Ovis aries: one gene and its partners. The protein of the gene in region 1 purifies or fractionates together with the protein of each later gene. This does not show direct contact. Links are inferred from orthologs where the notes say so. Each region holds a gene or a part of one and is shown on either strand. Other genes may lie near its edges. The genes, in order: CORO1A, POC1A and IFT57.

The links.
Region 2: the proteins of CORO1A (region 1) and POC1A purify together in Homo sapiens (affinity purification with mass spectrometry; 3 studies listed by BioGRID and IntAct, counting the BioPlex papers as one, with this or other methods). This does not show direct contact. The link is inferred for Ovis aries from reciprocal best matches to the Homo sapiens genes CORO1A and POC1A.
Region 3: the proteins of CORO1A (region 1) and IFT57 purify together in Homo sapiens (affinity purification with mass spectrometry; 3 studies listed by BioGRID and IntAct, counting the BioPlex papers as one, with this or other methods). This does not show direct contact. The link is inferred for Ovis aries from reciprocal best matches to the Homo sapiens genes CORO1A and IFT57.

The regions. Positions count from the first base shown.
Region 1 is NC_056077.1:26,650,379-26,654,564, forward strand, and holds the start of CORO1A (coronin-1A), read right to left. Parts: upstream 2,904-4,186; 5' UTR 2,747-2,903; coding exon 2,391-2,746; intron 1,935-2,390; coding exon 1,736-1,934; intron 594-1,735; coding exon 471-593; intron 374-470; coding exon 244-373; intron 158-243; coding exon 1-157. UniProt on the Homo sapiens protein: May be a crucial component of the cytoskeleton of highly motile cells, functioning both in the invagination of large pieces of plasma membrane, as well as in forming protrusions of the plasma membrane involved in cell locomotion.
Region 2 is NC_056072.1:48,822,963-48,826,570, forward strand, and holds part of POC1A (POC1 centriolar protein homolog A), read left to right. Parts: intron 1-250; coding exon 251-384; intron 385-3,608.
Region 3 is NC_056054.1:173,993,023-173,997,130, forward strand, and holds the start of IFT57 (intraflagellar transport protein 57 homolog), read right to left. Parts: upstream 2,892-4,108; 5' UTR 2,802-2,891; coding exon 2,590-2,801; intron 1-2,589. UniProt on the Homo sapiens protein: Required for the formation of cilia. Plays an indirect role in sonic hedgehog signaling, cilia being required for all activity of the hedgehog pathway.

The DNA of each region.
Region 1 (4,186 bases):
ATGATGCGGACTCGTTTGTCTCGGCAGGAGGTACAGATGAGGGCACCATCTCGGCTCCAGTCCACACTGTAGATGGTGTCCGGGTGCACGTCGGAGCCCAGCGTCAGCACGGCCGCCCCCGTGCCCACGTCCCACACCAGGATCACATTGTCGCAACCTGGGCGATGTCCCCAGTGTCAGAAGCCAGGAGCCTCCCCCCTGACTGTCAGGCAACCAGCCCTCCCTGCGTCCCGCCCTTGGCACCTGCACTGAGCAGCACGTTCTGGGCGGTGGGGTGCCAGGCCACAATGCCCACGCGCTTGGTGTGGCCCTCCAGGGTGACGACAGGCTCCCGCAGGGGCAGTGTCAGGCCCCCATCGGGGATCTCCCACACCTGCAGAGAAGGGGCGAGCAAGTGAGTCTTGGCGGTGCCCAACATCAGCTCCAGTGCCTGAGCCCCCTCCTGGCCCCTGGGTGCCCCCCATACTCACCATGACGGAGCAGTCCTCGGAGCCACTGGCAATGACGTTATCATTGTGCGGGCACCAGGCGATGTCCAGCACCGGGGCCGTGTGGCCACAGACCATAGGCACATTCTTGTCTACACGGCCGGTCTGGAGGACACAGCGGGGCCTCTGAGGGAGGTGCTCTGGCCCGCCAAACCCAATCCCACCTCCCCACACCCCTTCAGAGAGGCACAGAGGGGAAAGGTGTGGGGTCCCTGGAAGGCAGAGAGGGACCTAGGGTGGGAGGGTTTGGGGCTCTGCCCATCTCAGAGCTGTCTGGGCAACTCAGAAGGCTGGCCACAGGTAGCGCAGGATGGACATGCGGGCTTGGTCCTGCCCCTCTCTCAGACCCTGGCCAAGTTCCTGCCAGCTCCATCTCAGCCGGGGCCTGGTACCCCCGCCCTCACCCCCACCCCAGATTCTTCCATGGCACAACAGGCCAAGGCCCCCGGCGTGATTCAGGCTGAGGGTGTGGTTGTATCAGGGCTGGGGTTCCCCAGGGAAGTGTGTGTGAATGATGGGGCTGTGGGGACAGGTCCCCCCGAAAGGACAAGGATGGGGAAGTCTGTTATAACGGGTTTGAAATGGCTGCTTCCGGGGACGGCTGCTACAGCACGGTTTCCTGTGTGAAGTGCGGGCCCAGCTCTTACTCTGACAACCACTTCCTCTTCTCTATGTTTCCATCAGCCCTTTTAAGGTAACAACCGAGGGCCCATCTCCCCTTCCTGTCTCACCCCCCAAGAGCACGGGAGTGTGCTGGGGCGGGGGGGTCCGCAGACAGCAGGGAGGGCAGGATTTGAGGGAGGCCAGGGTTGGCGAGGGGAGAGGGTCTCTTACCTCATCCCTGCCTGTGAGCTGGGAGCCACTGAGCTCACTGGCTTCCCAGGGCCTCAGAGAGGTCCCTCCAAACCCTAAGAGCACTGCTGGGCCCACTCAGACCCCATCCCAGGCCTCTCTGTGCAGGAGAAAGCTCCAGGTTGAGACTTGGGAGGGCTAACCCTGGGTCTGCAGGACTTGCTATTTGACACTTCCCGTGTCACTCCCAACCCTGAGCTTCAGCTCCATCCAAGCACTGCATGGAGGCGCTGGAGGAAGTGTAAGGTTCATGCGGCTCAACCCAGTTTTGCAGAGGGCAACACTGCGGCCCACTGTCCTGAGCCGCAGACCTCATCGGGACCCCCAGGGGGCCAACTAGATCACCTGAGGCCCCCTTAGGAGGAGGGCCTGTCCCCAGGGCTCCAGGGGCTCACCTTGCCCAGGGGCAGCACCAGGAAGGCCCCTCCCCCGCTGGCCTCACAGATCAGGGCCACGAATTTGGGGTTGACAGCACAGAAGCCACTATCCCAGGTGTTCTGTGAGACGCGCACATCCTCATAGCACTGGTCAGCCTTGGCCGGCTGTCCAAACACATGGCGGAACTTGCTGGAACGGACCACCTGCCGGCTCATCCTGGTGAGACAGGGGTGAAAGGCTTTGCTCCCCTCAGGTCAACCCTGACCTTCCAGTGGCCCCCATCTCTCCCAGGACACCCACCCCTCAGTCTGGCAGCCATGGTCTCAGCTAACTTCCCTGTCGCTCTCCTCTGTCACTGACATCCAGCTACCCTTATACACGCCTTGCCCACCCCTCCTCATCCCTGGCTGACCTGCAAGGCCCACCGTCTCAACCCGTCCCAAGCCTGGCTTCTGTACCCTCAGCCTCCACAGCAGAGCCTGGGGTGAGGGGTAGCACCTAGTGCCAACTTGACCGCGGACTGGCTGACAGTCCCAGGGCCCATCCTCTCTGACGGGCCACCTTCCAGGGCCTCAGGGCAACAGTGTGGAGGGTGCACTCAGCCTCAGCGTCCAGACCTCACACCCTCACACCCACATGAGGAGCCATCTAAAAGGCAGGGGCCCTCCCCACCTCCAGGTCCAGGCTGGACACACGGAAGGAAATGGCATGTGGGTTTGCCTGGGCGGCATGTCCCCCATGGCCGGAGGGCTTCCCCAGCGGGTCTCTGGGCACCAGAAGCAGGCAGATGGCTCGGGTCCCAGCATCTCCTCCTCACACCTCAGCTTCTCGCCCCCACTTAAGCAGGTGCGCTTAAGGGCCTTCTCCACCCCACTGAAGCCATCCACAGGAAGGAAGCGGCTGGTGCTCACTTCTCGGAGGAGCAGCAAGAACGGTTTTCCTCCATGGCTGGGTGGACAGCGAGCAGAGCCAAGGGACCTGCCTCTGGCTCCCCAGGCTCCAGGCCTCATGCTGGGGCCCCAGAGCATCTCCTGCCAGCTTGGTGTGGGGGCCCCACGGCCTCTCCTCCACCACCTCCCTCGTGCCTAGCCCTTCTCCCTTGGAGCTCCTGCCACCCTCACCTACCCTGGGACTCTGGAGGAGGCTTGTGGGTCCACCTGTCCAGAAAGCGGATGAGGCGCCTGTGAGAGGAGGAGCTGGCTGGGGGCAGGGGACCCTTCCGGGAGGGAAGCTTAGGTCTGGGAACAGGGGAGCCCCAAACTGGAGGCTGGGAGACAGGAAGCCATCGCCCCACCCTGCCTCCTCCCCCACCGCAGGTACCAGGCCCCGGAAACCACGGAAAGGGGAACTTGGCCTTTTCTTGTTTTGCTCTCAACCCCTTCCTGTCTCCAAGCTCAGGGCAGCTACTGGGTTCACCCCACCCTGCCCCCCACCGCCACCCCAAAGACTCCCGTTCTGGGGAGAGGCCGGCGGGTGTCCTGACCCCCGGGCTCCCCCACCTCCATCTTGGCTGCGTGGCCCCTCACCCTCGCCCCCTCACGGAGCTCTGGGACACACGGGTGGACCCTCCCACGCGCACCCACACGCTCAGGCGAGTCCCTCCACGCGGGGCGTGGACGGGCCCCGTCTCCACCTCGGAGCCAGCGGCTCTGACAGTCTGTCCACCCCCACGGCCGGCTTCTGCCAAGCTCTCGCCTGCCCCACAGGTGGCCCAGGGCAGCGATGCCGAGCCCGGGTGGCCGGGCTCCAGCCTTACCTGCGGCTGAGAGATGAGCGACCCCCCAGACGGAGGAGGGCGAGGAGGAGGAGGAGGAGGAAGGAGCCGGCGGAGCCTGAGAACGTCCGCGGAGGATGCTCTTGTCAAGACAATGAATGAGAAGCGGCGGCGCCCGCCTCCTCAGGGGTGGCAGCGCCCCTTTGGGCGGAGCTCTTAAAGGGGAGAGCCCTTCCCTCCGCCAAGGCGCCGCCTCGCCCACCAGCCCGCAGCCTCCCCTCCCTTCCCGCCGCGGCGCTCAGCGCCTCAGCTGCCAATTCCAAACCAAAACAGATGCTGCTGGCCAGTGGCTGAGAATCTAATCTGCACTTTTTTAATGTCAAAAATGCAAAAATAACCTGTTCCTTCTTCCCTTCTCCAGCCCACCCCCAGCCTACTCGCCATCCTTTCCCTGGCATCCATAAAATGGCCCATCAGTCCCTTCAAAGCGGGCCTTAGTATAGCCCTCATCCCAAGCAAAGGCTGTGTTACCATCCTTCTGCCCCACCTCCAGTCAGGAAACAAGTGGAGGCCGAGCGGCAAAGAGGAGGGGGAACCTTGTGTCCACCTGCACCCAGAAGACCTGGGGTCTACTCAGGCCCCTACAGGCACAAATGGGTGGCCTTGGGAGGGTCACTTAACCTCTCGGTGTGTCTTCACCTAGGAGCACCCCCGCCCTGCCTGTCTCCCAGGGGCAAATGATATAATTTGGTGT
Region 2 (3,608 bases), on another chromosome or scaffold:
AGGGAGAGGCAGAGGGATGGCTTGATCCCCTGGCCTTTCCCCTGGGCTCCCATCTGCCCTGCGTCTGCCGTGGCCTGCCCTCGGCTCTGGGTGGGCCGCCTCCTGTCCTTTGCTTGTGCTGCCCTCCTGGAAAGTCCTTGGGAGACTCCTCACGGCAGCTCGGGATGCTGGCTGCCCTGGCTGGCCCCGCGTGCTGTCTTCTGGCTTCACGGGCCTCCCAGCCTGCGCCTGACTGCCGTCCTTCCCCCAGTGCACAGTGCGGCGGTGAATGCCCTCTCCTTCCACCCGTCGGGGAACTACCTGGTCACGGCCTCCAGCGACTCAACCCTGAAGATCCTGGACCTCATGGAGGGCCGGCTGCTCTACACACTCCACGGCCATCAGGTGAGGGCATCAGCCTGGGCGGGGTGGCGTGGCGTGGGCTGAAGGGGCCGCCTCAAGGTGGCCCTTCCCTTGGCGCCTGATGGGCCGTTGGAGCGTTTTGCATCCCCCCACAGCCTGGGCAGTGGGGTGAGGTGCAGAAACAGGTGTCCTACCCATGAGAGCTGTGACCTCTGCAGAAGCGCTGGGCCTGGGGCAGCAGCTGAGGAGGGAGCACAGGGCTTCAGTCAGATGAGGGTGGGGAGGGACGCGTCTGGACGTGGCTGGCAGGGTTTCTCTAGGCTGAATGGAGTCTGTCCCAAGTGACCTCCAGCCTCCCTTGGTGGTACGGTTGAGGAGAGCCCTGGGACCCATTCCGTGAACAGCCATGAAGCCTCCTGGAGCCCTGTGGAGGCAGAAACAGCAGGTGCCTCGTGGAGGTGGGCATGAAGGAGGGAAGTCTCCCCACATGTTTGCTGAGGAGTTCCCGGAGCTGACTCGAGGAGAGGGGCTTTCTCTCCGAGCCCCTTTTAGCAACGCACCCGTGCCTCGGCTCCCTGTGGGGCAGTGACTGGGCACCGGCCTCAGCGGGTGGGCTGTGGGAGGCGGGCTGGGTGTGGCTGAGTGTCTTCTGCTGAGCAGAGTGGTCAGCAGAGTGTTTTCTGTCGGGGCAGAGACCAGAGCATTTCCATCTGTCCACTTCTCTATTTGTGAGCAGGCGCAGGTAGGATGGAGAGTGGGGGCACTCTCGAGGGCTGAGGGAGGCTCTGGGGTGCTCGTGCCTCTTGGGCCAGCAGCTGTGTTGAGGTGCCTACCCCAGGGCCCTCTGGATCCCACTGCCACCTGAGTTGTGTATAGGGCCTTGGCTGGGTCTTGTGGGGGCAAGGCCTTTTCTTTTGCTTTCTTGGGACGTGGAGGCCACTTGCTATCAGCTGTGGTGATCCCTTGTCTGTCAGAGACATGCCTCGTGTGCAGGAGCTCTGACCTGTTCCTCTGATGTTGACACATCTGGGCGTCATGTGCGGCCACTGGGCTGAGGTGACTGCTGCTCTTGTCAGCCTGTGGGGGAATCACTTTGGTTATCCCTTTGGCGATTTGATTACTTAGATTCATGTGTAACCAGTTTTGGCTGGAGTTTTATAACCAGGAGGGCATTTGGAAACCACGTGAAGGCTGCTGCCTCTTGTGTTCCGATGATAAAGGAGAAGCCATGCACGGAAATACCGTGCAGACAGGTGCACACCAGGTGACCACCCCATTCTTTCCTTTTTCTTGTGAGCACTCTTCAGACTGCTGACTCAGCTCTGAGCCTGAGAAGCCTCGAATGCAGCATCTACAGGGGCATTCCTGAGCTCAGGCCCAGCGTCAGAGCATGGAAGCCTGTGGATGTTGTTTTCCCAGAGAAGCAAGACGGGGCCACGATAAATCACGTGGTTGCCTGTCTGCTGTTGAACCTGGAATGTGGGAGCTAGGCTGAGGACAACTGGTAGTTTTGGGGTGTGGAGAATGGGAAATGGCTCCAGGAATCACCAAGCTTGCAGTGCCCAGAGGAAGGGGGAAGAAAGAGAAGCAAGCTCACCCCTATTCATCTTGCTGTCTGCCTGTCCATTATGTCATCCGCTCCCCAGCTTGCTGGGCTGGGCGTCATGGGTTTGAAATGGATGCAGTGGCCCCACCCCCTGGGGCTCATGCCTGGCAAGCAGGGGACTCCCTGGGGCCATCAGCAGAGCTGAGGTGGCATGAGATGCGTTACGAAACGAGAGGCAGGTTGGGTCTTGGGTGATACTTGGAGGGTTAGGTGAAGCAGCGTGGGCTTCTTCCCCAGAGTGCTGCTCAGATCAAAGTGGGACTTGGAGTGAGAGGCTCACATTTGTTTCTGTTCTGACCCTTGAAAATTCCCACCAAATACAGACACTTAGCACTGGTGTGCTGTGGGCTTTAGGGGCCTGGGTTTGGGGTGATTCACAGTCAGCTAAGTGTGCCTTCCTTAGAAAGGATAGTGCGGTTGAGCAGCCTTGATTGGGGCAGTTATTAAAAACAGCCCACCAGCCAACCTGAATACCTAGAGCAGGTGGATGTCTGGGCTGGGAGCAAGAGTGCCTTTTCTCTCCCTGAGGGGACAGACCTGTGGAGGTTTGACCTGTGCTGTCACTGGGAGCCAGTGTGCTCCGTAAACGTCCCTGACCTGTGAGGGTCTGTGCGTGCTATCAGGCCAGAGTGGTTCCACCCTGGAACAGTTCTTGGACACCTGTGTTGCCCTGTTGGAGAATGTATTGCCCTGGCCAAGCCCCAGGGAGAGGGCCTGTACCATGGCTGAGGAGTGCAGCTCTGCCCGCGTGCTCTGTGCAGCGTCTGGTCTTAGGCTCCCCCCTCATGAAGTGCCCCCGGCCCTGTCCTTCCAGTAAGACGTGCAGCTGAGCTCCTTGGCGACTTGAGCATCCACATTCTGTTCTGGGAGGTGACTGAGGGCCTCACCCAGCACAGCTGTCACTGGCCACTTCCTAAAGCCTGTGGCTGAGCAGCCCCGTGGCTCCCTAGTGGCCCCGGATGCCCAGGGATTCTGTCCCACAGAGTAGTTGGCAGATTTGAAAGCACCTTTGAGTCCTGGTGGGGGAACCGAGGCCCAGAGAATGGGGTAGGCAGCTTACGGTTGTTGAACGGGGTCAGTTAACCATATCTACAGTTTCCAGCACACCCGCTGACCCCATATGTATGACTGTTAGAAGCTGAGTTGTAATCTCACTCTTGTTCTTAGTAATAGATCACTGGTCTGTGTAGGAAACCAGCAGGCCTCATGGCTTCTTGTGTTCCAGCCTCACTGTTGGATGACAGCATTCTGGTCAGTGGGAGAGGGATCCCCTTGAAGCTTTGGTTTGGACTTGAGGACTTCCTTGTGATCGCCCTCAGGCAGAGCCCTGAGGGAGCTTTAGAGGGAGGGCTGTTGAGTTATTCTGCTCCATGGAGCAGCAACCCCCTTGGGCCTCCAGTTCCATACCTGTGAGAAGGTACAGTGCAGGCTGGGGGTCAGAGGCCAGCTGAGAGGAGTCAGCTGCAGGGGGCTGGTGCTGGGGTGAACCAGACCCTGACCAAGAGAGGGGGCTCTGTGTGTGCCAAGGAAGTGTCTCTGTGTCTTGCGAGAGGGCCGGCCTAAACCACCTCTAATGGGGGAAGAGCGTGAAAGGGTCAGAGTGGAGAAGGAAGGGTCGAGGAGGCAGAGCTGTTGGGCAGAAGCTCTCTTGCCTTGGGTT
Region 3 (4,108 bases), on another chromosome or scaffold:
TGAATCACTTGAAGAGCTTGTTAAACTACTGCTACCTGACTAAACATTGTTTCTTACCTCACAAATTAAATCAAAACTCTGGGGAGTGAAGTCCGGGGTAGATATGTTTCAAAAGCTTCCTAGATAGTTCTAAGGTTCAGCCAGGATTAAGAACCACTGCCTGTGTATATCCCAGTCTAACAAACATTTGTGGACTTTAGGTTAAAGCCCCTAGCCTCTTAAAAATAGCCCTATGAGAACCAACATGATTCACACCTAAACTTTTAAGGAATAAAACCTGTAAGCCACAGCATTTTTTACTTTGATCAAAGACCTTATTTTGCTTTTATGTGAAGCTATTACTATTGTTTACAATTAGATTTATAGATACTATAACTATTTTTCATAAGAATCAGCAATCTACTCCTTCCTGATTTTTTTCCAGTTTTTTTTTCCTTCCCAATTTTTCTCTTGCAGGATAGTTTAAATGTTCTGGAAAATAACAGCTGGGAGGGAAAAAAAGGCTATGAAGTCCTTCCAAATAGGTATATGTTCACCCACTACTAATAATTTTTTTTTTCCCTTATTAGCTGATAACAACTCCAGGACAGAGGAATGGATACTGATAGATACTGGAGACCCAAGACAGTTCAGTTCAGTTCAATAGCTCAGTCGTGTCTGACTCTTTGTGACCCCTTGGACTGCAGCACACCAGGCTTCCCGGTCCATCACCAACTCCCGGAGTTCACTTAAACTCATGTCCATTGAGTTGGTGATGCCATCTAACTAGCGCATTCTCTGTCATCCCCTTCTCCTCCCACCTTCAATCTTTTCCCAGCATCAGGGTATTTTCAAATGAGTCAGTTCTTCACATCAGATAGCCAAAGTATTGGAGCTTCAACATCAGTCCTTTCAATGAACACCCAGGACTGATCTCCTTTAGGATGTACTGGATGGGTCTCCTTGCAGTCCAAGGGACTCTCAAGAGTCTTCTCCAATACCACAGTTCAAAAGCATCAATTCTTCAGCGCTCAGCTTTCTTTATAGTTCAACTCTCACATCCATACATGACTACTGGAAAAGCCATAGCCTTGACTGGACAGACCTTTGTTGGCAAAGTAATGTCTCTGCTTTTTAATATGCTGTTTAGGTTAGTGGTTCTCAAACTTAAGTGGGTATCAGAATCACCTGGAAGGCTTGTTGCAAAAGCAGACTTCTACACCTCACCCTCTAAGATTTCTGATATACTGGACTCAGGAAAGGGCCTGTAGGATTACACTTCTAATAAGTTCCCAGGTGATGCTGATGTTGCTAATCTGTTGACCATACTTTGAGAACCTTTAGACTAGGATATTTCCATGCAAATCCATGACTCAAAGTACCCTCCTGAACTTCTGAGGAAATAACAGATTGTTATCAACAAAATCTTAAAGCCAATTTATTTTTGTTTGAAAAATATACTTGGAGAAAAAAAACATTTTTATTAACAGAAAATGTTGACTGTTTATGAATTACCCTATTCATTTAAGTAATAACTTCCAATCTTACAATTTATATCATGGATCAAACAACATTATTTCTTCCTCTAACTTTTCTATTATGGACTGGCTTAGCAATATGGGCAGTTTACATGAAGCCAACATTATCTTCTAATGGAAGTTACTGGAAGAGAGTAAGGAATTAAATTTAAACTGTCAAGGTAAATAATTTGAAAATAATTTGAGCCTAGGTATAGTCATTTAGAGAAAGTACTACAGATTCTTAAACTAAATTGCCTCTTACACAATTAAACAAAAACAAAAATTTAATACAAAAAAAAAAGTATTAATGTGAAGGAAATCTACAAAGTTTATGAGGCCTATCACTAGGCTACACTAATTTAAAGAGAAAGTTCTGGCTGTCCATCATCCTCAGCAAGTAATACCAGCCGCGGCTTCAGAATATGATGGACTTTCCCCCCAACAGAATAGAGCAGAACTTCAGGTTCTATGAAAAGAGACAATTCCATTGTCACTTCATTTGTCTTGTTCACTTCTCAGTTTCCAAAAGTACTGTTACTGCAAAGACAGAAATCTTTTAAAAGATAGCAATTAGTGAACAAGTTTACTAACCACTTATAAAATGCACAAGTAGGTGTCCGATACAAAAGTTACAAGTTGTAGGGACAAATTCTCGAAAAGGAAAACAAAAACTAGAAACAGCTAAACTGATTATGGCATTCATCTTTGAGGATGAGATCATGAGTGACTGCAGTACTTTACACATTGTAAGTTTTCTGAGTTTTCTAAGAGGTTGTTTTATTATGTTTACAATCAGGAAAAAAAAAAAAAAGTTTGCGTTTTATGGAGCTGCGTGAGTGCTCTAGGCAAGCTGCCTTCCAGTCCTATTTGAAGTTCCAAAACTTTACTCTCGCTACAAAAATACCAAGTCTAAACTCCGTGAGCAGTCCGGCCCTACGTCGCCAAGTTTGGGGTGAAGTGCTCTTTCCTGCGTAGGAAGACAGAGGCAAGTGCTTGGTAACCCGCGCTCGGAGTTCCCCCAAAGGCCAGAGGAAGGCTTCTCCCCAGGGCCCAGCCGGCTTCCAGGCGCTCGGGGGACGAGGGCACCCACCTGGACGGGGGCTTCAGGTTGTTCTTCCGGAGGAGATCCTCCTCATAGCGGAGCAACTTCAGCTTCTCCACCAGGTCCTCCATCACCACAAACATGTGGTAGGCCGCGCCGGGGCCCCTCTCCACGACCACCTCCCCCGCTCCTTCGCCGCGGGACCGAGACACCTCATCCTCCAAACCCGACGGGGTGACCACTGCGGCGGCGGCTGCCATCACGGAACAGACCGAAAGAGCCCAGCGCGAGGTCTGACCCACAGACCTCCGCGGCCTGCGCTGGCGCAGCCAGGACCAGCGAGGCCGGTTACCCAGGCGACCCGGGCACACCAACAGGAAAATTAGACTCCGCCCCCTTCCCCCGCTCCAACGTTCTAAATTCCCTCCAACCAGGGAGGGCTTCCTTGCGGGCGTCACGTCTGGCTCCTGCCCCCTTCCCCCGCCCCTTCCCCCGCCTCTGGAGAGGCGGAGGCTGAAGCAGCCCCGCCCCATAGGCGTGGCATTCTCCTAGTCACGTTGGGCCACGCCTCCTACCGCTTCATTTTAAAGAGGGAGGGTCTGCGGGCGTTTCTGTTGTGCTTTCTTGATGGTCCTTAGGAGGCTCTAGGAGACTTGGAACGGTCCTCAAGAGCCCCTGAGTCGGCGTCTGAGTCAGCTGGTAGCAGATAAAAAGATTAAAGAGAGAGGAAGGCGTGCAGTATTGAAGGCTACCATAGCCCACTGGTATCTTTTTAATTTTTCGTTTTCAAATTGAAAGTTTTCACAGTTGTAAAGATATTCGATATCATCGGTTTCCCTTTACTTCAGGAGTTTTCCAAAGAGAATTTTCCTTATTTTTCTTAATCTTTCTCTCATTCGGGAATGCAGTATTTGATTTAACAGTATATTGCAAGATTTGAAGTATTATAATTCTCTGCTGTTACTCCAGGGATGAGAAAAGTTGTTGGTTGGGAGGGGAAGAAAAAAGGCAGAGGATAAGCAGAAAGGAGGCATAAGAAAGTGTTTGTTGTACCTCAGAAACAAAAATTCTAAACTCACATCCTGCTGTTTAATCAAGGCCATTACATGTTGTGTCAAGTTTTGGGGTGGCTTGTTAAAATAGCAAAGGAGATAATCTTGAGAGGAATTCCCTGCCCTGTAGCTCTAAGTGTGGCTAATGACAGAATGTTACTACTGTACTGTGCAGCTGTTGACCTGGAAAATACCAATACAAGGAAGGGGGCATAACTGACTGCTTTACAGGTCTCAAAAAGAAACTTTTGTGTATTAAGCAGTTTTCCTACCAGCTATATAAAAAATCAGGTAAGTGGTAGATGCTGGGGGTTTCCTGGGAGATGAAAACTTTTGGCAAGAGGTTGAAACTATGTTTGTGTTTATGTGATTTTTGATCTCTACTTTTATCTGTTACTAGAAAATACAGAGGCCCATTTTTTGACAGAGCTGAAGTCTGAAATTTATTTGTTGTATCTTTTTGTTAGAAAAATGGGCAGAAGAGCACTTCTCATTTTTATATCAGTCTAGACCTA